Canis lupus familiaris: one gene and its partners. The protein of the gene in region 5 interacts with the protein of the main gene of each other region in a pairwise test. Links are inferred from orthologs where the notes say so. Each region holds a gene or a part of one and is shown on either strand. Other genes may lie near its edges.

Region 1 (3,971 bases), on a different chromosome or scaffold from region 5:
TACTGTTCCAGGGAGTGGGACACAAAGGCAGAGGAGATACCGGTCTGTGTTGGGGGATGGGGGTGGGCGGAGACAAGAAGTGGTCCTAATCCACATTGAGGAAAGAAAAAAAAAAAGAAAGAAAGAAAAAAAGAAAGAAAGAAAAGAAAGAAAGAAAGAAAGAAGAAAGAAGAAAGAAAGAAAGAAAGAAAGAAAGAAAGAAAGAAGAAAGAAAGAAAGAAAGAAAGAAAGAAAGAAAGAAAGAAAGAAAGAAAGAAAGAAAGAAAGAAAGAAAGAAAGAAAGAAAGAAAGAAAGAAAGAAAGTCCTGATCCATACGGAGGTCACGGTGGGGGAGGCAAACAGAAGTCGTTCTAATCTGTGTTTATGGATGGAGAGAGAGTCAAAGCAGAAGTGGTCCGGCTCTGTTTCTGGCAACAGAGACATGAGCTGATTCTGGCTGGAGGTGTGGGAGGCAGAGGTAGAGGTGATCCTGGAGTCTTGGTGTCCGGCCAAAGGAGGAGGGTCCTGGTTTATGACTGACAAGTGGCAGGAGCTCTCCACACCTCGAGAACCCTTCCTATTAGCACTTCCATCACCTTCCCCATCGCAGAATGTCCCCAATAGTCGAGCTCCCGGAGCTGACTTGGCCTGAGAAAGTGCAGACAGGGGCTTCTCGGGTTTAGCCAGTGTTCAGGACTGCGGCCTCCTGTGCATTCATTCACACCATGTTTTTCCTTAACCAATTCTGCACACACAGCCTTCTGCCCTCTTCCAGCGCCCCACCACCCGCCTCCCCTCGGGGCTCCTGGAACCCAGGGTGACGCTGTTGGCAGCCCTGGCTTTAAGAAGTTCCCGGCCGAGCTCCGCCTCGCCGGCAGCCGGCTCCACCCTAAGCCTAAGTCCCAGGCGGCCACCGGCTCCTCCCAGCGCTGAGAACTACAAGTCCCGCCGTCCCTCGCGCGCGCTCTCCCGCCTCTCCCTTGCCCCCCAAAGGCGTCGCCGGTGAGTCGGCCAAGAGTGCCTCCCATTGGTCTCTCCACCTTGTCAGTCATCTGGTATTGAGGGGCGGGTCTGAGGTGGAGATCCGGATCCGGAGCGGCTGAAAGGCGGAAGTGGAGGCCGGAGCCTGGGACACCGCCGGGGGGAGAGGAGCGGAGCCTGTCCGAGCCCCGGCCCCAAGTAACGCCGCCGCCCCGGAGACGCCGTGAGTGTGCCTGTCCCGGGGCCTAGTGTCTCGCTCGCGTTGAGGCCGTTCGGGGCAACACTTCCTCCCGCCCAACCCCGGCTTAGGGGGATACTGACCCCTCCCCCGACCCGTAGCCCCCTCTTCAGGGGCTCCCCAGGCGTCGGGCCAAAGGGGGGGCCCTCCTTTCCTTCCCTTACCTGCCCTTTATGAGCCTTGGGAAGCCGCCAGGGTTCTCCTCTGGCCTGTCCAGTCCAGTTGTGGGAGGCAGAGACCACAGATTCTGCTCTCTCTGCTCCCAGAACTGGAGGAATCTTTGCTAGGTGTGAAGGAGTCGGTCTTCCTTCTCTATAGAGGCGGCGAGGAGTGCTGTCTGTCGCCGTTTTCCTCGCACCCCCCCCCCCCAACCGTCCCACAAAAACAGTTGTCTCCTCCAGCCCTAGAGAAATTTTATCTCGATTTCCTGGGGCGGGGTGGGGGCGGAGGGGTCCTGGGTGAGAGCCTTCCACACACACAGACTCCCACAACTCCTCACTTCCTCTCTTTCCTCAAGCCCAGGGAGCCAGCCAGGATCCCAGCAGGATTTAAAGTCTAGGCCACTTTTTAGGAATGAGCTGTTGCCTCCTTATCTTGCCCCCTCCACCCCAACTCTGTCCTCTGGTTATGTTGTTCTCTAGTTGTGCTCTCTGAGTGTATCTATCTCTCTTCCTGCCTCTGAAAAATTTAGCTGAGGTTTGCTTAATCCTAGCTACAGATCACAGATCATGGTGGATCTGCCCATTCATTATCTTCTCTCTCCCCTCCTCTCCCCCTCCCCCTTGCTCCAGGCTCAGCCCTGTCCTCCCAGAGCACGTGAGTGGTTTCCAAGCTGCTTCAGAGGGACTGCTCCTCCTGGGACTGCTGTCTGCTGGTCTTTAGGGAATAGGGGAAAGACCAGAAATAAGGACTGTGGAAGTGAAGGGTCCTGGCCTATCTCATTCCCACTCTCAGACACACATACCCCTCTCCTTGATCAACAGGTCTCTGCCACTTCTAGTCCCAGGGCCTCTCTCCAGTCCCTTCCGGGAGGCTTGAACAGATTATAGATTACAGAGAAGTGAATTGAGACCACAGTGGCACCTCTGGGTTCTTAATGTGTTAATTTTTGTAGCCCAAGGAATTCTCATGTATGCTGGAAAGTGCTGACATCCGCCCCGCCCGCGCCCCCTGCCCCCCCTCCAGCCTTTCCAAGAGGCAGCCTGTGCTGACATCTGATCCTTGTCTGTTGCTTGGGACTTAGGTGTGTGAAATGGCTGTTGTCTCAGACCAGGTTCGCAGGTTTTGTTATGTGGCCAAAGTACAGGCCAGAGACTATACCTTAATGAGAGTAGCCTGACTCTTTGAGGCCATGACTGACCCTTGCTATCTACAGCCAAGGGAGGGAGGAGAGGCCATGCAGCCTTTGGGAATTTCAGTAGCTCTTCAGTGTTTCGGGCCATCTTTACTGTCCTTACAGGTGCTAAACATTTTTTGTCTTGGGATCTTTTTGACTTCTTGTGGACAGTCACCAGGGTCCAACTCCTACAAACTTTTGAGCTAGACCTGGGTTGTACTCATTTCATTTTTTATTGGACAACAAGAAAGCCTACCTTATTAGGATCAGTGGTTGGATCACAAGCTCTCTATCTGTGTGGTCTTCTTTGGAAAGTCGTTGGAGACTTCTGCGGCCAGCTTAGTTTCTCTAATCTGGTCAGCCTGTGCCTCTGAGGGACAGACCAGAGAAGCCTCTCTGCTCACTGGCCACTGGTCTCTGACCAGACTTACCTCCTCGGTAGTGGGCTGTGGTTTCTGGAACTCTTTGGGAGTCCCAGGATGAGGCTGCCAGCCTTCTGAGGGGACCGTCTTTGTCTGGACATGCTCTCCCAGCTAGGATTCTAAAACAGGTTTTTTGAAGGAGAAGCTCTTGTTTTCAGAGAGACATGGAAGGCATCATTGCCCCGGTAGTTAGGTAGTTAGGCTGCCACTTCTGGCATCCAGAGATTGTAGAGTCCAAGCAGAGCTCTGATGTTACTTGGCAGAAAGAGGGAGGGCTCTGTGTGAGACAGAAGCCTCTCCTCTCTTGCCTCTTCCAACTAGTTGGCCTTTTCCTGCCTTCATACAACAGAGAGGTGGTAACAACTGATTTTTAGAAATCACTTTAAAGTTGCAGTTTTTTTCTTTTAAAGATTGTATTTATTCATGAGAGGCGGGGCAGGGTGGGGGAGGCAGAGACAGGGAGAAGCAGGCTCCCCTCAGAGCAGAGAGCCTGGTGTGGGACTCTATGCCAGGACCCCGGGATCACGACCTGAGCCAAGGCAGAGGCTGAACCTGACTGACCCACCTGGGCAGCCAAAGTTGCAGTTTTTTCACACATGTTTCTCACAGGAAACAATATTATATTTTCACACCTGTTCCTCACAAGAGTCCTGGGAGATAGTGGGATTTGTATCTCCGTTTTAGAGATGAGGCTGAAGGAATTTAAGTAGCTAGCCTTAGATCATCCAGTTAGAAAGTGGTGGAGTTGAGGTTTGGGATTTGGGATTTGATGTGCCTCATCTTCCCTAAGAGTGGTCCCTTCTTGGGTCTGTTTAAGGAATGAGCATGCAAAGTGAGCAAGCAGAGGCCCCAGTGCAGAGACCCTTAAGCATCCCTCATCCTTGATGCCCCTCTGCTTCCATTTACTTCCCCACCCCCACTCTGTCCTGCCATCATCCTGGATCCCCATCTCCTCTGCCTCTGGGGACCATGGCAGTTAGGAGTCCCAGCTCAGTACTCTTCAGGGCCTGACAA
Region 2 (3,988 bases), on a different chromosome or scaffold from region 5:
CACACAGGGCCCGCACCTCCAGACCCCGGAACGCCCTGGGGAAACGCGGAGAGCCCGGGTGGAAGTCTCCCCAACCCCGCGGCGGCCGCGGAGCCACCACCAGGCCCCGGGACGACCCTCCCGCCCCTCCCGACCCCCCGGGGGCCGCGGCCGGAGCACGACGAGGAAGAGACACAAAGTGACCGGAAGTCAGAAGTTTCCCAACGACCCAGATCCTCCCGGAGAAGGGGAGGAGGGGAGGAGGGGAGGGCTCCCCATCCCCGGCCCGCCCCGCCCCGCGAGGAGGCACCGCCACAAGTGCATCCTCCGGGCGGTCGGGGTCCCGCTCCTCGGTCCCGACAGGAGGGGCCTGGCCCGCAGCCGCCCCCGCCCGCAGCGTTCCGCGCACCCCGAGCCCCGTGAGAGGTTCCCGGGGAGGGGCGGGGGCCCCCCAACTGCTACTTACAATCGTCTAAGTCATCGTGCAAGTCCACAAAGTACAGGGGGATCTCTGAAAACCGAGAAACACACAGGAGTTACACACAAGGAGGGGGCCGCGGCCTCGACGGGGGGCCCCCGCCCCCTCCGACCCCCCCTCCCCGCTCCCCCGCCCCTGCGCCCCGGGAGCCAACCCCACTCACCCGCCATCTTGGGATGGGCCAGGAGGCGGGGTCCGCGCGGGGGGCGGGGCCCGTGGGGCGAGGGGGCGGGGCCTCGGGCTCCCAGCCCCGCCCCCCGGGCAGGCCCCTCCCCGCTCTCCCGCCCCTGCGCCCGGGGAGCCAACCCCACTCCCCCGCCATCTTGGGATGGGCCAGGAGGCGGGGTCCGCGCGGGGGGCGGGGCCGGCGGGCGAGGGGCGGGGCCTCCGGCCCTCGCCCCGCCCCCTCGGGCAGGCCCCGCCCCGCGAGCCTCGCGGCGAAGGTGGCTGCCGAGGTGGGCGGGGAGGTCAGGTGACCCGGCCAGCGTCCCAAGATGGCGGCGGCGGCGGCGGCGCCCGGGAGGCCGAGGCAGCGTCCCGGCTGCTGAGGCGGGCCCCTCGCGCGCGCGGCTGGCGACGGACGGGCCGGGCCGAGGGCTGGCGAGCGGGCAGCCGCCGCCTCTGCGCGCCCCGCGGCCGGGGCCGAGCCGTGCGGCGGCGGCGCCGGGGGATGCTCGTGCTGGGCCCGGCCTCTCCCTCCTCAACTTAGGGCGGCGGCGGGCCCGCGCCCCTGGCTCCCGGGCCATGGCGCTGAGGGAGCTCAAAGTGTGCCTGCTGGGGGTGAGTGGCGGCGGGCCGGCCGGGAGGGCCGCGGGAGGCCGGGCAGGCCGGGCAGGCCGGGGCCCCAGGCGCGCCCTCGTCCCCTGCGCCCCCTCCCCCGCCGCGGCCCGCGGGGCGGTCCTGCCACCTCGTCCCGGCCCTGCGGGGGGGACCCGACCCGCGGACGGCGAGGCCCCCGACGGCTTCCCGCCGGCGGGCTCGGTGCACGTTGGCCGAGTCGCCCCGAAGTGCGGCCCCGCCGCCGGTCTTCCTCGTGCGGCTTTTGCAAGCAGAGTTCGTCTCCTTTTCTCGTCTGTTCGGAGTTTGTGGGACACGCTCGGGGACGCTTCTCACTGAGTTACTTTCTCGGGGGGGGGGGGGCGGGGGGAGGGGCACGTTCAAATCAGGAAGCCCCCCCCCCCCAAAAAAAAAAAAAACGAGTTGGAAGCTTCAGCTTCCTGCCTCGACGGAGCATCTTGGCGCCCTCAGGTCACGCCCTGTGGAGTTGGGGCTCTTTTGCCTGAGTGGCTGCTTTAGAGGCCGAAAGGGATCCCAGTAACTAGTCCAGCACCAGCAGCACCAGCACCAACACCCCTTCCCAAGTAGGGCGGGGCTGTGACCCTATCAGGGATCGCTCGAGTAATTTCAGGAGTTCATAGTCTACCTCCACGTGTCAGAAAGTGAGTTTGTGGCTTTATCACGCCGAGCACAAACTTTGGGCTTCTCAAAAGGTTCTGGTGTCCCGGTAAAAACTGCAAGACATTCCCCGCCCCCACCCTCCCCGTCCTACAGTTAAGTACATCTCGAAACCCCCTCCCTCCCACTGAATGTTTACAAACACCCTGCGCCCCTTGACGTCCTGAAGACCCGCGCCCGAATTGATGTCTGCGAGATGCCGAGCGAGCCCAAGGCCCCGAAGCGGTGTTCTCCGTCTGCAAGCAGGTGAACTTATTTGTGTTTACCCGCCTCCTTCTTTTCCAGGATACGGGCGTAGGTAAATCGAGCATCGTGTGGCGGTTCGTGGAAGACAGTTTTGATCCAAACATCAACCCGACGATAGGGTAAGAGATTTAAGTTTATTGAGTCTGTCTCTGAAGGTGTCCCGGAAGCCCTTCCAAATTAAAAAAAAAAAAAAAAAAAAAAAAAAGGTGTGTTCCTGGGAGTGGGGAGGCATCGCCATTCTCAGTGCATTTCCCAGGCCCGCAGTTTCCTTTCCATCGTCCCTGGAAGGACTTGGAAGCGTGCAGTGGGGATTGATGTGTTTTGGGAAAGTCACCTTTTGATTGGTGAAGGGGAAACTTCAAAATAAAAATAGGAATGGAGGGGATCCCCGGGTGGATCAGCGGTTTGGCGCCTGCCTTTGGCCCAGGGCGCGATCCTGGAGTCCCGAGATCGAGTCCCACCAGGCTCTCGGCATGGAGCCTGCTTCTTCCTCCTGTGTCTCTGCCTCTCTCTCTCTCTATCATTAATTAATTAATTAGTTAATTAATTAATTTTAAAAAATAGGAATGGAAGCGCTGCTTAGTAGAACGTTGGTCAGTCCATAAATAAAAATACCAGCGGCAGTCACATCTTGAAACAAAGCAGAAGGTGACAGGTCCTGATACTGTTCTTGCAGGCATACCAACTAAAACGTTATTTAGATGGTTTTAGTTCCTCCTGAGAAACAGGACACATGTCAGACCGGGAGGGCCGGCAGACGGAGATGTGGATGCCCAGGACGGGGCTGAGGCCCTGTCACTGCTGCTACCTATCTGAACCCCTCTCATAACCTGCCTACACTAATAGTAATAGCGAATTAATAAATTAATGTTGAATTGTCAGCGTTTTCCAGGTGTCTGTTACTTTGGATATACGTGAAACTGGCTGTTGTAGGTTTTTCACTCAGAAAACTTCTCAGGGTATTTAGATACAGTAATATTAATGACTTACCTTGTGAGAAGTTGTGTTTTATAGGTTTTAATACTATGTTAGGCTTGCAAAATTAAATCGATGCTATGCTATTTTTTATTGCGCACCCCCCTCCAATCAAATGGTTTCTCCCATTTAAAGAAAAATCCAATTCTGCCCAGTACAGAAATGTTTTACGACATACGCATTCAAAGGCATGGGGATGAAACCCCTACTTACTAAATTTCTGAAATTAAAATGCCTTTTGATATCCTTCAAGAAAGAACTGGGTATGTGCACATGTTTAAAACGTGACCTCATCCGCCTCAGGGCCTGCCTGTTGCTACCTGCCTGGGAAAGAGAAGTGACAGGAAGTGATAGCAGGTAGTGCTGGTGACTCAGTGAGTAACACCTTTCACACTGGGTCTGAGCGGAAAACACAGCTCTGCAAGACGCAAACACCACTTTGGTTAAAAGCGCTCTCTCAGAGACAGCCAGAGGACAGGGAGGGGTCTAGCTCCGGTAGCAGTGAGGCTGACAGGCCCGCAGCCCTGTCTGGGGTGTCCATGCACCCATTTGCCAGCCCTCCCATTCTGACAGATGCTTATAGTTTCTCACCTGGAGTCCCACCCTCTTTGCCGGGTGTTCTTGGCTCACATTTCACAGGAAGGAGGAAGATGAGGTGTTCCCCGAGTTTCCTTCCACTTTTCCTTGTTCCTTTTTTCTCAGCCAAAGCGAGTGTGTTCCTCCTCTGTGCCTGACTCCTCACACACCTGAGCTCTGGAGGGCCCTCCTCACCAGTTCTCCCTTTCTTCCCCTGCCTTGCTTTCTTGTCACCGCCTACAAACATGCTCCACTTTTACCTGCCTTACTAAAACAATA
Region 3 (4,263 bases), on a different chromosome or scaffold from region 5:
TTTCCAGTAGGATATTCTTTCCTGCTTTGTTGAATATTAGTTGACCATAGAGTTGAGGGTCCGTTTCTGGGTTCTCTATTCTGTTCCATTGATCTATGTGTCTCTTTTTGTGCCAGTACCATACTGTCTTTATGATCACAGGTTTGTATAAGACTGAATAATATTCTAATGTATAGTATACCACATTTTGTTTCTCTTCCATCCCTTGATAGACACCTGGGTTGCTTCCACTTTTTGGCTACTGGAAATAGTGCTGCTATGAAGATGGGTATAGAAATATCTCTTTGAATCACTGCTTCAATCCTTTTGGGTATATGGCCCAGAAGTAGAATTGCTAGGTCATATGATAATTCCATTTTTAGTTGTTTGAGGAGTCACCATACTCTTCTGTAGCAGCCATGCCATTTTATATCCTCACCAACACCTGTTATTTTCTGGAGTTTTTTGACAGTAGCCATCCTAATAGATCTGAGTTGGAATGGGAGTTTTAAAAGATAGACTGAAGAGGGGTGCCAGCGTGGCCCAGTTGGTAAGCATCTGACTATTGATTTTGGTTCAGGTCATGATCTCAAGGTTGTGAGATCAAGCCACATTGGGCTCTGTGCTCAGAGGGAGTCAGCTTGGGATTCTCTCCGTCTCCCGCTGCCCCTCCTGCTCTCTCTAAAAAAATAAATGAATAAATCTTAAAAAAAAAGATTGAAGAGCCAAGAAAAGAATTTGAGGGAAACAAAACCCTTATAATATGAGATTTGACCAGGAAAAAAAAAAAAAAACAGCATAAGCATAACCATCAAATGAATAGAAAAAGGCATGAGATGATCACAGGAAAGGAGTAAAGTAATAAAGCAGAAAATGATAGTCATGGTGATGGGGAAAGGCATCCAGCATCTGGAACAGAAAAAGAATGCAGAAATACAACCCAGGAAAATTTTTCTGAAAGAGAGGAAGAGCTAAGTCTTTGGTCAGAAGATCATCTTGAAAACAGATAGAGAATGACCAAGACCTATCCTGATCTAAAGCTTTCTCTCTCCCCTTCTCTGCCTCCTGCCCCCTGCTCGCATGCATGCATTCTCTTCTTGCTAAAAAAACAGACAAACAAAAATGATATAGGCAAGAAAAATCATGAGATACGAGGAAAGGAAGAGGAAATGTCAAGTGTTAATTATAGAGTGTTAATGTGAAAATACATGGTTTATGTCTTAAATTTTCATATATTTTTTATTGGCATTAAATCGTGTGTGTGTGTGCGTGTGTTTTGGTGGTGGTGTTTGAATATTTAACTATAGGTCAGAAAGCCATTTAGTACCCCATCTGTTTCTTTTTTTTTTTTCCTGTTATATTCAAACAAAATTAAATAACCCTTATGAGAAAAAAAGCAATTAATACAGAATACGTGCATGAAGAGATGTCCAGAATGATATTCACCGACTCTAAGTACATATTGGATAACTTGTTTTTTCTTTTGTACTTTTTTATGTTGCTTGAATTTTTTAATGAACCTGCATAAAAGTGCCCATATTTTTATACAAGCCATAAAATCATTACTGTCAATATAAAATATTGGTCAGTAGTAGCATCATTATTTCAGTTGTTTCCTAATCATTTTTTAAAAATTACAGTCTTGACAAACACCAGAAAGAACCCTTGTCAGTATTTTTTAAACTTGTGCCTAAGATATTTGCAACTGCTTTGGGATAAAAGGCACGTACAGTGAAAACAGCTATTCCGATCGGGTGCTTTTTGCCTTCTTATTGAATTCATAAGTCTAAACAATGAGCTGCTGAGTGTGAAGTGGGATTGACGCGGATTCCCATGATGCTGGTGACAGAGAATGTAGCACAAGTGTAGTGCTGTTGTACACATGACTGTACCAGGAGTATGAAAACCTCACTTCTAGTTCTGGCCTAACCAATAAGCAGCACCAGAATTTTGAATGTTTAGCGTCCTTCTCAATCTCTGCACTTTTGCTACACTGAACTTCTTTAAAAAAAAAAAAAAAAAGATTTTATTTATTCACGAGAGAGAGAGAAAGAGAGAGAGAGAGAGACAGACAGAGAGAGAGAGGCGGAGACACAGGCAGAGGGAGAAGCAGGCTCCGTGCAGGGAGCCCGATGTGGATCTCGATCCGGGGACTCCAGGATCACGCCCTGGGCTGAAGGCAGGCGCTAAACTGCAGAGCCACCCAGGGATCCCTGAACTTCTTTCTTTTCTTGAATTTGCTGTGATCTTCTGCTTCCAGGCCTTTGCACAGGCAATTTCCTTTGCTGAGGGCATGCTTCCTTACCTTTCCATTCATTGGATTCTTTCTCACATTCAGGGTTTAGCTTTAACCTCCTTCCTCTAGAAGGCTGTCTGCATTGTAACTGATGGTACTTCTTACTGGATATGCCTGGCACATCTGTAGGCAGTCACTCAGTGTCATGGTTCCTCAGCAGACTGGCCTCGGGGAGACTGGGATCTAGAAAGTGCAAGGTCAGGTTCCCTCATTGCCCTTCTACAGCATGTGCTGTCTCTCCCTTTGCTGGGCCCAGGGTGGTAACTCTCATCCTGCTACCTCATGGCCTCTGAGTTTCATTTTTTCTCATCAGGCCTCTTTGGTTCTGCTTCTGTTAGAGACTGCAGCATTTCTTGGTAATGTTCGAGTTTATCAGCAGAGAGTAGCTGTCCTGGTTAGCCCATTATCTTCCAGCACTAGCCATTCCTGCAGGAGAGAGCGCCACCCCAGTGCCAGAGGGAACTGGGGCCCAGGCTGTCATTCTTCATTCTCTTGGAACCCCCTGCCTGGCCTCTCTGTTGAAAGAGATGATAGTGAGAAAAGCATGTTATAAAGCTGTGCCATATAATGCCAAACATATGTTTTATACATAAAAGACAAAATCAAATTGTTATCACTAAGTTTCTCTTGTGGGGTTCCCAGTTATTTTTATTTTCTTGTTTTCACATTTTCTGTAATAAACATTTCCAAAGATGCTAAATGGTATTTTGTAAGCTCCTGTATGTGACCTTTTACTGAGCAGCCCCCAAGAAGACTAGGAAAAGTTGGCCCTACCATATGAAGCTTTGTGCTCTTCTCCCCACAATTTCCATTTCTGCCCCCATCTGATGTGTTTGTTTGCTCTTTTCACCCTCGTATCTTTCTTTTTCCCAGATGACTGGATGACTGGTTTCCCCCCGCACATCCTCAACAGCTCACCATCGGACCGGCAGATTAACCAGCTGGCCCAGAGGCTGGGCCCTGAGTGGGAGCCTGTGGTGCTGGCTCTGGGACTGTCCCAGACAGATATCTACCGCTGTAAGGCCAACCACCCCCACAACGTGCAGTCGCAGATGGTGGAGGCCTTCATCCGCTGGAGGCAGCGCTATGGGAAGCAGGCCACCTTCTGGAGCTTATACAGAGGCCTCCAGGCTGTGGAGGTAGACCCCTCGGTGCTCCAGGACATGTTGGAATGACCCCTGCATGCTCCACGTCATCCTGTGGTTGGGGGAGTGTGTCCCCAAGTTGTGTGTGCAGAATCTTAACTTTCTCCAAGGGCAGGTGGTTTGGGGGGGTTTTGGGGGTCTTTTCTTTTTAATGAACTTTAGATGAAAGGAGAAAATAGGATTTCTGGTATACATTACTTGAAAGGTCAGATTACTCAGTAGCTCTCCCACATTGACTTGACAATTCATTGTTTTTAACTGCTTAAAGATTGCATTGTTTTAATTGTGCAGGTTTTTAATTGTGTGGGTGCCTTTTAATAAACTGGTAAATCATAATGGCTCAAAAAAAATTACTGTGTTATCACATTACATGTAGGTGTCCTGTATATAAAGCATGCACTTCTATATTGCTTGGGAACTGACCTATGGATTTTGCTATTAATGGGGATGATCATAAAAAGTTAATTTGCTACATATAATATGGCCCTTTCGTCACATAGGATTGTTTGTTTTTTCTCATTCCTGTAGTGCATAGATTAAGAGTGTCAAATAACGTAGTTATTTTTTTGAAACAGAATTACTAGTAATAACAAAATGGTAGTGTCAAATAACGTAGTTATTTTTTTGAAACAGAATTACTAGTAATAACAAAATGGTTATTTTCTCTAGTTAAGATAAATTGCTCAGGCAGGGTGTCTACATTAAATTCAAGACAGTGAGGCTCCCTGCAAGACCAGTTCAAGTACCAGCATGCATACCTGAGCCCTTCATCTTTAAAAGATTGCTTAAGAAAATCCTGTGCCGTTTATTTAAAGAATTTATTTGGGGAACAAAGGAGGATGT
Region 4 (3,351 bases), on a different chromosome or scaffold from region 5:
TGTGAAATTGAGTGATTATGTATTGGATTTTTCCCAGTAAGTTCCATCATTTCCAAGCTAGTCTTATTAATATGGGCTAATAGCATATGTGTTTATCTCTTACTAGCTCACACCATCCTTTCAAAAGATAATTCATAATGATTTGTCTCTGAATATTCACATTTACTTAAAACTGATAGAAAATTTGAACTTCCTTCTGAATTGTCTTAACTCTTCTGTATTTCTTTTTCTATGTGATCAGGTTCTGGAGATATATCTTCAGATTCTGTTGACCACAGCCCAGCCAAAAAGAGGGTCAGAACTGTGTGCAAGTGTGGAGCTGTGACTTGCAGAGGTTACCTCAACTGAATTTTCAGGAAATAGAGCTGACAATTGTAGTTTTGTTTTTTTTTAATGTTAACATTTCAAAAAAGTATTTGGGACTCTTTTCAGATTGTCAAGATTATATGCTATGTTAATTACAGTTCATGTTTCAAACTATTGGCCAAATGTATTAGTGATGCTTCTGAAGAGAAGAACACAGGGTCACATAGACTAATTTGAGATATACATATTTAGTGATTAGATACTAAACATGAAGGGAAAACTATTTATAGATGAGCATATGCATACATAAAAAGACTAGAGAAAAATGCCTCCTTCAGTGTTTAAGCAAACTAGTAGTGTAAGTCACTAAGATCAAATATTCAACCTGCCATACACCTTGAATTTAGAGAGTTAATTCAATTTGGGCAAATATATACAAGTGCTATTTCTGTTATGTTGTCATTCCCATTATTACTCACTGTACTTGTATTTGAGACAAACAGGTGATACTGAATTATTCTATTTTCCTACTTTCATCAAAATACTGGATTTTAATGATAAATTTAAGGTCTAAATTAAATATAAAAGTTTAAATACAGTTTGATTTCATATTTTGAAACAATCTAGACTGTTCTGAGGCATGTATATCTGAACCAGTAATTCTTAAAGATTTTTAATCCCTTAAAGGAATAATTTCCAAAAAAAGCTCTAAAATTCTAGAATGGCTGCCCATTATGCTGCTTTGAAGGATGGGGGCAGTGGGACCAGGAGAGTTTTGGGGAGTGCCAGGCAGAGGAAATGGAGCACTTTAAGGGCCCCTCTTAGTAACGTAAATTAAGAGATCCATGTTGAGTACTTCTGGTCTAAACATAAATAATAAAACAAGATAGCCCTGAGTGCAGTTGTACCTAACAATAATGTTTCATATGATACATCTTCTGAATTTCAGGCAGTTTTAACATTTCCACCAAACTTAATTATTTTTATATTTTCTGCAGTCTCTTAAAATAATCTATATTTTGAACTGATACTTATTTTTTATACATGAATTTTTAAAATATGATAAAGCTAAAACTTGGGTTGGACAAAGTGTGTACCTGAGTTATGAGAACTTTTTTTACTTGAACCATGAAGACTGAAATGGAATATATTCCTTGTTTGGTTTTTGTTTTGTTTTCCTGCATAGTAAAACATCAATCAGGAAAAAATGTGTTTTCATTTCTGTGATTGTGGGATTTGTAATCATGGTGTCCAGCATGAAGGTAAACGCAGCAAGTAAATCTGGCTTTCAGTATTCCTAATTAAATTATACCTAAGCTCATTGCCCTGTTGCTTTAATGACCCTAAAATAAGTGGGTAAAATTGAATGGACCTCAAATGCAGCACTTCCAATATCTTCTAAATTCTTAACCTCTTTTTTGGGAGAAGCTGTGTTTCTTTATGCATTATATTTTTATAGCTACCACATGATTTTGCTCTTTTATAATATACGGTAAATTTTTTTTACATGTTTGGAGTCTCAGTGTATTAACCAAAATCTGCAGAAGGTGTCAAGGAAAAATACATTTTTTTTTTTAGTGCCATTTCTTAGTGTTTTTTTAATGAGAAATTAGTCACATGGTTTCAGTGGTGAGAACATCACAGATTTATAATGCTCCAATGGCCAAGCTTACTTTGAATTATAATTCTTCAACAGGTTTAAAGATATAATTTTAATATTCTTCTTAAAAAGTCAGTTGTACTATCCAGTTAATCTTGTCTACTTTTTGTGGTTAAAAAAAATGTAAAACAGGAGGGCAAAGGGAAAATGGCTATTTTCAGTAAATTTGTTTCATTTTGTCTTTATTACTAGAAATTTAATGGATCTTTGAGATTTTAATGACCTGTTACCCTTACTTTATTAAAAAGTTGGACTTAGTAAACTAGAAACCCTCTACATGAAACTGTTAGAAGCTTTTAACTATTTTGTCAACATTTAGCTTCTTTAGTTTTGTCAGAATTTGTCCCTTCAGTATAAGTATAGCCAAAATTCAAGGGTAATATTTAGATCAAGTTTAAACTGTAAATTAATCCAGTCTGAGTTTTACTAATACCGTTGTTTTCAGTATCTATATAAGGATCGCGATACACAATTGGTAATCTCAGGGTCTTTTCCCTCTATGTGCAAAATCTAGACTGCACTTATTTTTCTTACAGTTCACTTTTCTTTAGCCAAATAAATTTAGTTTGGCATTTGATTTTCTATTTATTGTAGGTTAGCTTTGTTTCTGAATATTTTACTGTCTTTTCCAGTAAGGCTACAAAAGGGCCAAAAACACCAGTATATTCCTGCCTACTTCTTTTGAAATTAACCAGAGGTTTTTATACTATTCCCTTAAATGTTATTTGCCTTTTAAGAAGTTTGTCAGTCATGGTTGATCCATTTAAATATTAGAGTAGAATTTTACATAGCATAAAATGGATATGGATAGATACTTGTAAAATTTTTTGAGTATTATTAGTCACCAGGAAATTTAACATAAAGCTTCCATTCTTTGAGCAAGTCTTAGGCTCTTTATATGTGCTCTTGTGCTTCTCCTAAGCCTGTGAGTCTGGTGCTCTTGGCCCTATAGCACAGCAAAGGAAAGGGTCTAGACGGGTAGATAAGATTAACACACCCATAGATCACCCAGCTTGGGGCCAGTAACACCTGACTATAATGCACTCAATTTTATACTTTTAGTTTCAACAAACATGTAACTCTTGGATTCCTAAGGCAAATGTGGCTAGCATCTGGGCTGTATCTTGGCATTTTGAAACTTTTTTTCACTTATTCTTTTATACTTTACAGTTCTTAAAGTAAAAATCAAGTAGTCACTATAATTAATCCTGCTTCCTCCTGTGCTCTTTTTGAGAGGCATTATTGCATGGTGGCTAAGAGCATGGACTCTGGAGCTTGAGTTGCCAGCATTTTCATTCCTGGCTTTACCCCCTCCCGGCTGTGTGAACTAACCTCTCTGTGCCTTAGCCTCATTTTTGAATGGGGAGAATAATTTCTCTACCTCA
Region 5 (4,124 bases):
AGAATATAGTAGGGAAAAGGATGCTGGATGATTTTCCTATGGAGGCCATACGATGGCTCAGGAAAGGCTGGTGCTGGCTACAGCCAACTGGGAATAATGGCCCTGGAGTCTCCAAGTGACCAGGCAGCCTGCCATCAGAATTTCAGAGGTGTTTGGAACTCAGCCTGTACCTTAAACACCTCGGTGTTTCTATAGCATCTAATGTTATCCTATCCTGCCTGTTGATTCTGCTAATGTGTTCTACTGGATAAAATTTTTTTTTTTAAGATTTTATTTATTCATGAGAGACATAGAGAGAGGCAGAGATACAGGCAGAGGGAGAAGCAGGTTCTCCGCAGGAAAGCCCGATGAGGGACTCCATCCCAGGACCTTGAGCCAAAGGAAGACGCCCAACCCCTGAGCCTCCCAGACGCCCCTCTACTGGATGAATCTTACGGATTCCTAAGGAAGGGGCTTCTGAACCCCTGCCTTTGATATAAGAAGACCTCACGGTCCATTTGCAGGTACTCCCCCAGGGCTCCCCCCTCCTCCCTCCTCTTCCTCCACCTTTCCTTGTGTGACCCTGACCAAGTCCCTCACTCTGGGGGCCGTTTTCTTACCTCTAAATGAGAACAACTGAACTAGATGATGGATGCCTTCCAGCTCTAAACAGCAGCTTGATCAATTTTCCAAATGAGAAAACACAGCCAACCCTGAGGACGAGGTCCGATTCTACCGCTCCAATCCTAGAGCTCTGGTTTCCACAATGCCTACATCGGAAGAACGGCGCACGCAGGTGATTCAACTATCCTTTTTTATTTTTCCTCCTCTACAATTAGGTGACCTCTGCGCTGCGAGAGGTCACGGGGCACTGGGATTTATCTAGAAAAGGTGGTGTGGCAAGTGCCGGCTCTTCCCTCCCGTTCAGGAAGTGGCGAGGGTCACAGCGGCAAACACCTGTTCGCCCCTAAGTCCTTCCAATCGAAAGTCTCCCGAGTAGGTGCCAAGTAGATAAAACCTTATCGTTCCGCCCTCGAGTTCCCCGTTTGGGGCTTTAATAAGCCGCGACCAGCGCCACGCACCCGACTACGTCGCTGAACACCTTGACACCTCCCGCGACCCCTGAACCGCGAGGCCGGCGCTAGGCTCGGCCGGGTCCCGCGAGGCGCGGTGCGGCGCGGCGGAAGCGAGGCCGCCACACTTCCGGCGGCGCGGCCGCGCGCTCGCCACACTTCCTGTTGATCCGGCTCCGCGGAGGGCTGGGCGGGGGAGGGGGCGGGCCGGGGGCGGGGAGGGGGCGGGCCGGGGGCGGGCCGGGGGCGGGCCGGGGCGCGGGAGGCGGCCTCTGGCCAGGCGTGGGCGCGCGCGGGGCCGCGGCAGGCACGGAGCGTCTGCCTCGTAGCTTCATTCCGGAGCACCCTTGGCGGCCGCGCGTCCCGCACTCCGTCCTTCTGTCCGGCCCCGCGCCGCCATGCCCGCCGTGGACAAGCTCCTGCTGGAGGAGGCGTTGCAGGACAGCCCCCAGGTACCTCCCGCCGCCCCGGTGCTCTCGCCCGGCGGGGACTGGAGGCCGGGGCGGCCCCTCGAGCCCGGGGGTGGAGGCCGGGAGCACGCAGGGGGCCGCCCGGGGGCCGGGAGGGGGCACCCCTCAGGCGGGGCTAGAGAACCCGAGAAAGCCCTCCGCCGCCCGAGTCTTTGTGCCGTGACCCCCTTCGGAGTCAGCCGACACTGACGCTGCCCGGCCTAAACTCCGGCTCCACCGCTCCGCTGAGTGCCTCGGACAAATGACCTTTGTGTGCCGCAGTTTTGTCATCGGTAACCCGGGGACAATAATTGTACCCGCCTCATGGAGTTGTCAGGATGCCAGTAAAGTTGTTGGCGGGCACCGTCCTGTATGGAAGTTGTCATCGTTAGTATTATTACTGCTGCTACTGATGCGATGGGTCCTAGTGGGTTTAGGGCCAAGATGGGAGGCAGAGAGCCCAGCTCTTTCCCAGCGGGACCCTTCCGCACGCTTTTCCTGTTTTGTCAAGAGAATATGACAGCACCTGCCCCGCTGTCGCACGGAGGGATTTCACTAGCGAGACCAAAGTTAAGTCCCTTCGAGCTCTGCAGATGAGAGCTGCCGTGTAAATGTAGCGGATGAGTGCTGAATGACATTAGTTCATAATTCAATGCCCTTCTCTTCAGGGAACTTCTGTTCGCCATTAGCATTTCCCCGGCTTTGGCTTCCTATCAGCTCTCCTGGTTCTGTATCCCTGGGTTATTCATAAGTCTTTTTAGCCCGCGATGTCTCAACTCTTCAGAAATTCAAATGAGATTAACCTGTTTTCCATCTCTATTCGGTTCCTTTTTCTTAGCAAATTGCACTCCCGGGAGGAATGTATTTTATTTTCTTTAAGATTTTATGTATGTGTTCGACCTGGAGAGAAGAGCAGAGTAGGAGGAGTGGCAGAGGGAGAAGCTGACTCCCGCCGGGCAGGGAGCGGGAGGGGTCTGGATCCCAGGACACCAAGATCATGACCTGAGCCAAAGGCAGACTCTTAACCAGCTGAGCCACCCAGGTGCACCTAGGATGATTTTTTGATGGACTTACCTACACTCACTTTGCATCTTGCTGGTTCAGAATAAGTGTCAGAGCACTGTGTGCTTCGTTGCCTTGTGCCCATTTCTTTGTGATCTTAGGTAGGCAAGTAAGAAACTTGAGCAAGCTGTGGCTTTTTTTTTTTTTCTTTTTCTAATTGGCATCCGCTGGTCTGATCGACTTTTTAAAGACCTCTTTGAAGGCTCTAAACTTGTGGCATTTTAATGGGACCGAAGCCCTTTGGAGAAGTATTTTTGTCTGTACCTCACACATTATGTGAGATATGAAGATAATAATGTAGAACTTCTAACGATAACATTTTGAACGAGGATTTCCGTTTGCTTTACAGTCCAAAAGTGCAGATATATTGCTTTCCTAACTGATCGTGGTGTTGGCCGAGCCAGGTCAGAGAGAAAACACTGATTCTTCTATGCTGCCCTCGCTGATAGGTCACATTCTGCATTTCTGACTCTCATATAAGTGCATATGTACCATTTTTCTGAGTGGTTTGCAGGGTTTTCTCAGCTGGGAGGAAGCAGAGGACTGGCAAACAAGTCAGGAAAACTGCATCCTAATTCTTGCTCATGTCAACCTACCATGTCATTGGGGCAAGTCGCTTATTCTCATTCTGTGGCTGACTCAGTTTTCTCATTTACAGAATGAGGGATGTGGAACAGGTGATTTATAAGGAGCTTTAAAAGCTTAAAATTCTATCATATTGCATGATTTATAACTTTGAGCTCATAAGTGGAAGAGGAAGTTTAGTGGCATTGCCATTCCTGTATAATGTTCCTCTTAATGTAGGGAATTTGTTACTGCTGTTGGGACTTGGTGTCACTCTACTAGGATTTTTCATAGGTTGTTCAGAGGAAGCTAACTTTCAAGAAGTTCTTTGATAATCATCAGAACGTGTTTATTTAGCAGTCTTATATGGGGGGTGTGCCTAAAGCGGCCTTATTGCTGAGGAGACTCATAGATTAGGAAGTGGAGAAAAGCAGATCTAATTCCTTTTATGTGTACAGAATAAAAACAACAGCAAACACCTATATCACACATGCATTTTATGTACCAGGCATTATTCTAAATCCTTTACCTGTATTAGCTCACCTAATATTCCCATCAATCTTTTGAAGTAGGTCTCCTATTAAAATTACCAAGAAGCAGAGAAGTTGAATAGCCAGCCCAAGATTATACACCAGACAGTGGCAGAGCCAGGATTGGAACCCAGGCAGTCTGCCTATTTTGTTCAAGTTGGCCCAGCTACCTGGCACCTGACCCTTCTATCATTGGGGACCTAAAATGTTTCACTGAAAGGAAAAGATCCTAAGAAACCATCTATTGTTTGTTTCTTCTAGTTTTATGAAGAGTAGTTATGAGGGTTGCTGCAGCAACCTGCACATGATTCATTAAGTGAACACAAAAGCTTTTGTAATTGAACTCAATGACCCAAGAAGAACTGAATAGCAGTTGACCGCCCTTAGACACATCTATTCATTTCATCCTTTTTAGTACTGCATGGTGTGTCGAAGACTAGTCTGTGCATACACATATTATTTCTGGT

Evidence for each region.
Region 1: the proteins of APPL2 (region 5) and RAB5C interact in binary tests that used the Homo sapiens proteins (3 or more experiments, as listed by UniProt). The two-hybrid records come from large-scale screens. The link is inferred for Canis lupus familiaris from reciprocal best matches to the Homo sapiens genes APPL2 and RAB5C.
Region 2: the proteins of APPL2 (region 5) and RAB22A interact in binary tests that used the Homo sapiens proteins (3 or more experiments, as listed by UniProt). The two-hybrid records come from large-scale screens. The link is inferred for Canis lupus familiaris from reciprocal best matches to the Homo sapiens genes APPL2 and RAB22A.
Region 3: the proteins of APPL2 (region 5) and CRADD interact in binary tests that used the Homo sapiens proteins (3 or more experiments, as listed by UniProt). The two-hybrid records come from large-scale screens. The link is inferred for Canis lupus familiaris from reciprocal best matches to the Homo sapiens genes APPL2 and CRADD.
Region 4: the proteins of APPL2 (region 5) and SUV39H2 interact in binary tests that used the Homo sapiens proteins (3 or more experiments, as listed by UniProt). The link is inferred for Canis lupus familiaris from reciprocal best matches to the Homo sapiens genes APPL2 and SUV39H2.

What each region holds. Positions count from the first base shown.
Region 1 is NC_049230.1:20,627,583-20,631,553, forward strand, and holds the start of RAB5C (ras-related protein Rab-5C), read left to right. Parts: upstream 1-1,171; 5' UTR 1,172-1,184; intron 1,185-3,971. UniProt on the Homo sapiens protein: The small GTPases Rab are key regulators of intracellular membrane trafficking, from the formation of transport vesicles to their fusion with membranes.
Region 2 is NC_049245.1:43,854,590-43,858,577, forward strand, and holds the start of RAB22A (ras-related protein Rab-22A), read left to right. Parts: upstream 1-1,181; 5' UTR 1,182-1,201; coding exon 1,202-1,237; intron 1,238-2,197; coding exon 2,198-2,277; intron 2,278-3,988. UniProt on the Homo sapiens protein: Plays a role in endocytosis and intracellular protein transport. Mediates trafficking of TF from early endosomes to recycling endosomes. Required for NGF-mediated endocytosis of NTRK1, and subsequent neurite outgrowth.
Region 3 is NC_049236.1:34,343,220-34,347,482, forward strand, and holds the end of CRADD (death domain-containing protein CRADD), read left to right. Parts: intron 1-3,148; coding exon 3,149-3,450; 3' UTR 3,451-3,756; downstream 3,757-4,263. UniProt on the Homo sapiens protein: Adapter protein that associates with PIDD1 and the caspase CASP2 to form the PIDDosome, a complex that activates CASP2 and triggers apoptosis.
Region 4 is NC_049223.1:20,689,418-20,692,768, reverse strand, and holds the end of SUV39H2 (histone-lysine N-methyltransferase SUV39H2), read left to right. Parts: intron 1-241; coding exon 242-348; 3' UTR 349-2,849; downstream 2,850-3,351. UniProt on the Homo sapiens protein: Histone methyltransferase that specifically trimethylates 'Lys-9' of histone H3 using monomethylated H3 'Lys-9' as substrate.
Region 5 is NC_049231.1:34,245,005-34,249,128, forward strand, and holds the start of APPL2 (DCC-interacting protein 13-beta), read left to right. Parts: upstream 1-1,322; 5' UTR 1,323-1,450; coding exon 1,451-1,504; intron 1,505-4,124. UniProt on the Homo sapiens protein: Multifunctional adapter protein that binds to various membrane receptors, nuclear factors and signaling proteins to regulate many processes, such as cell proliferation, immune response, endosomal trafficking and cell metabolism.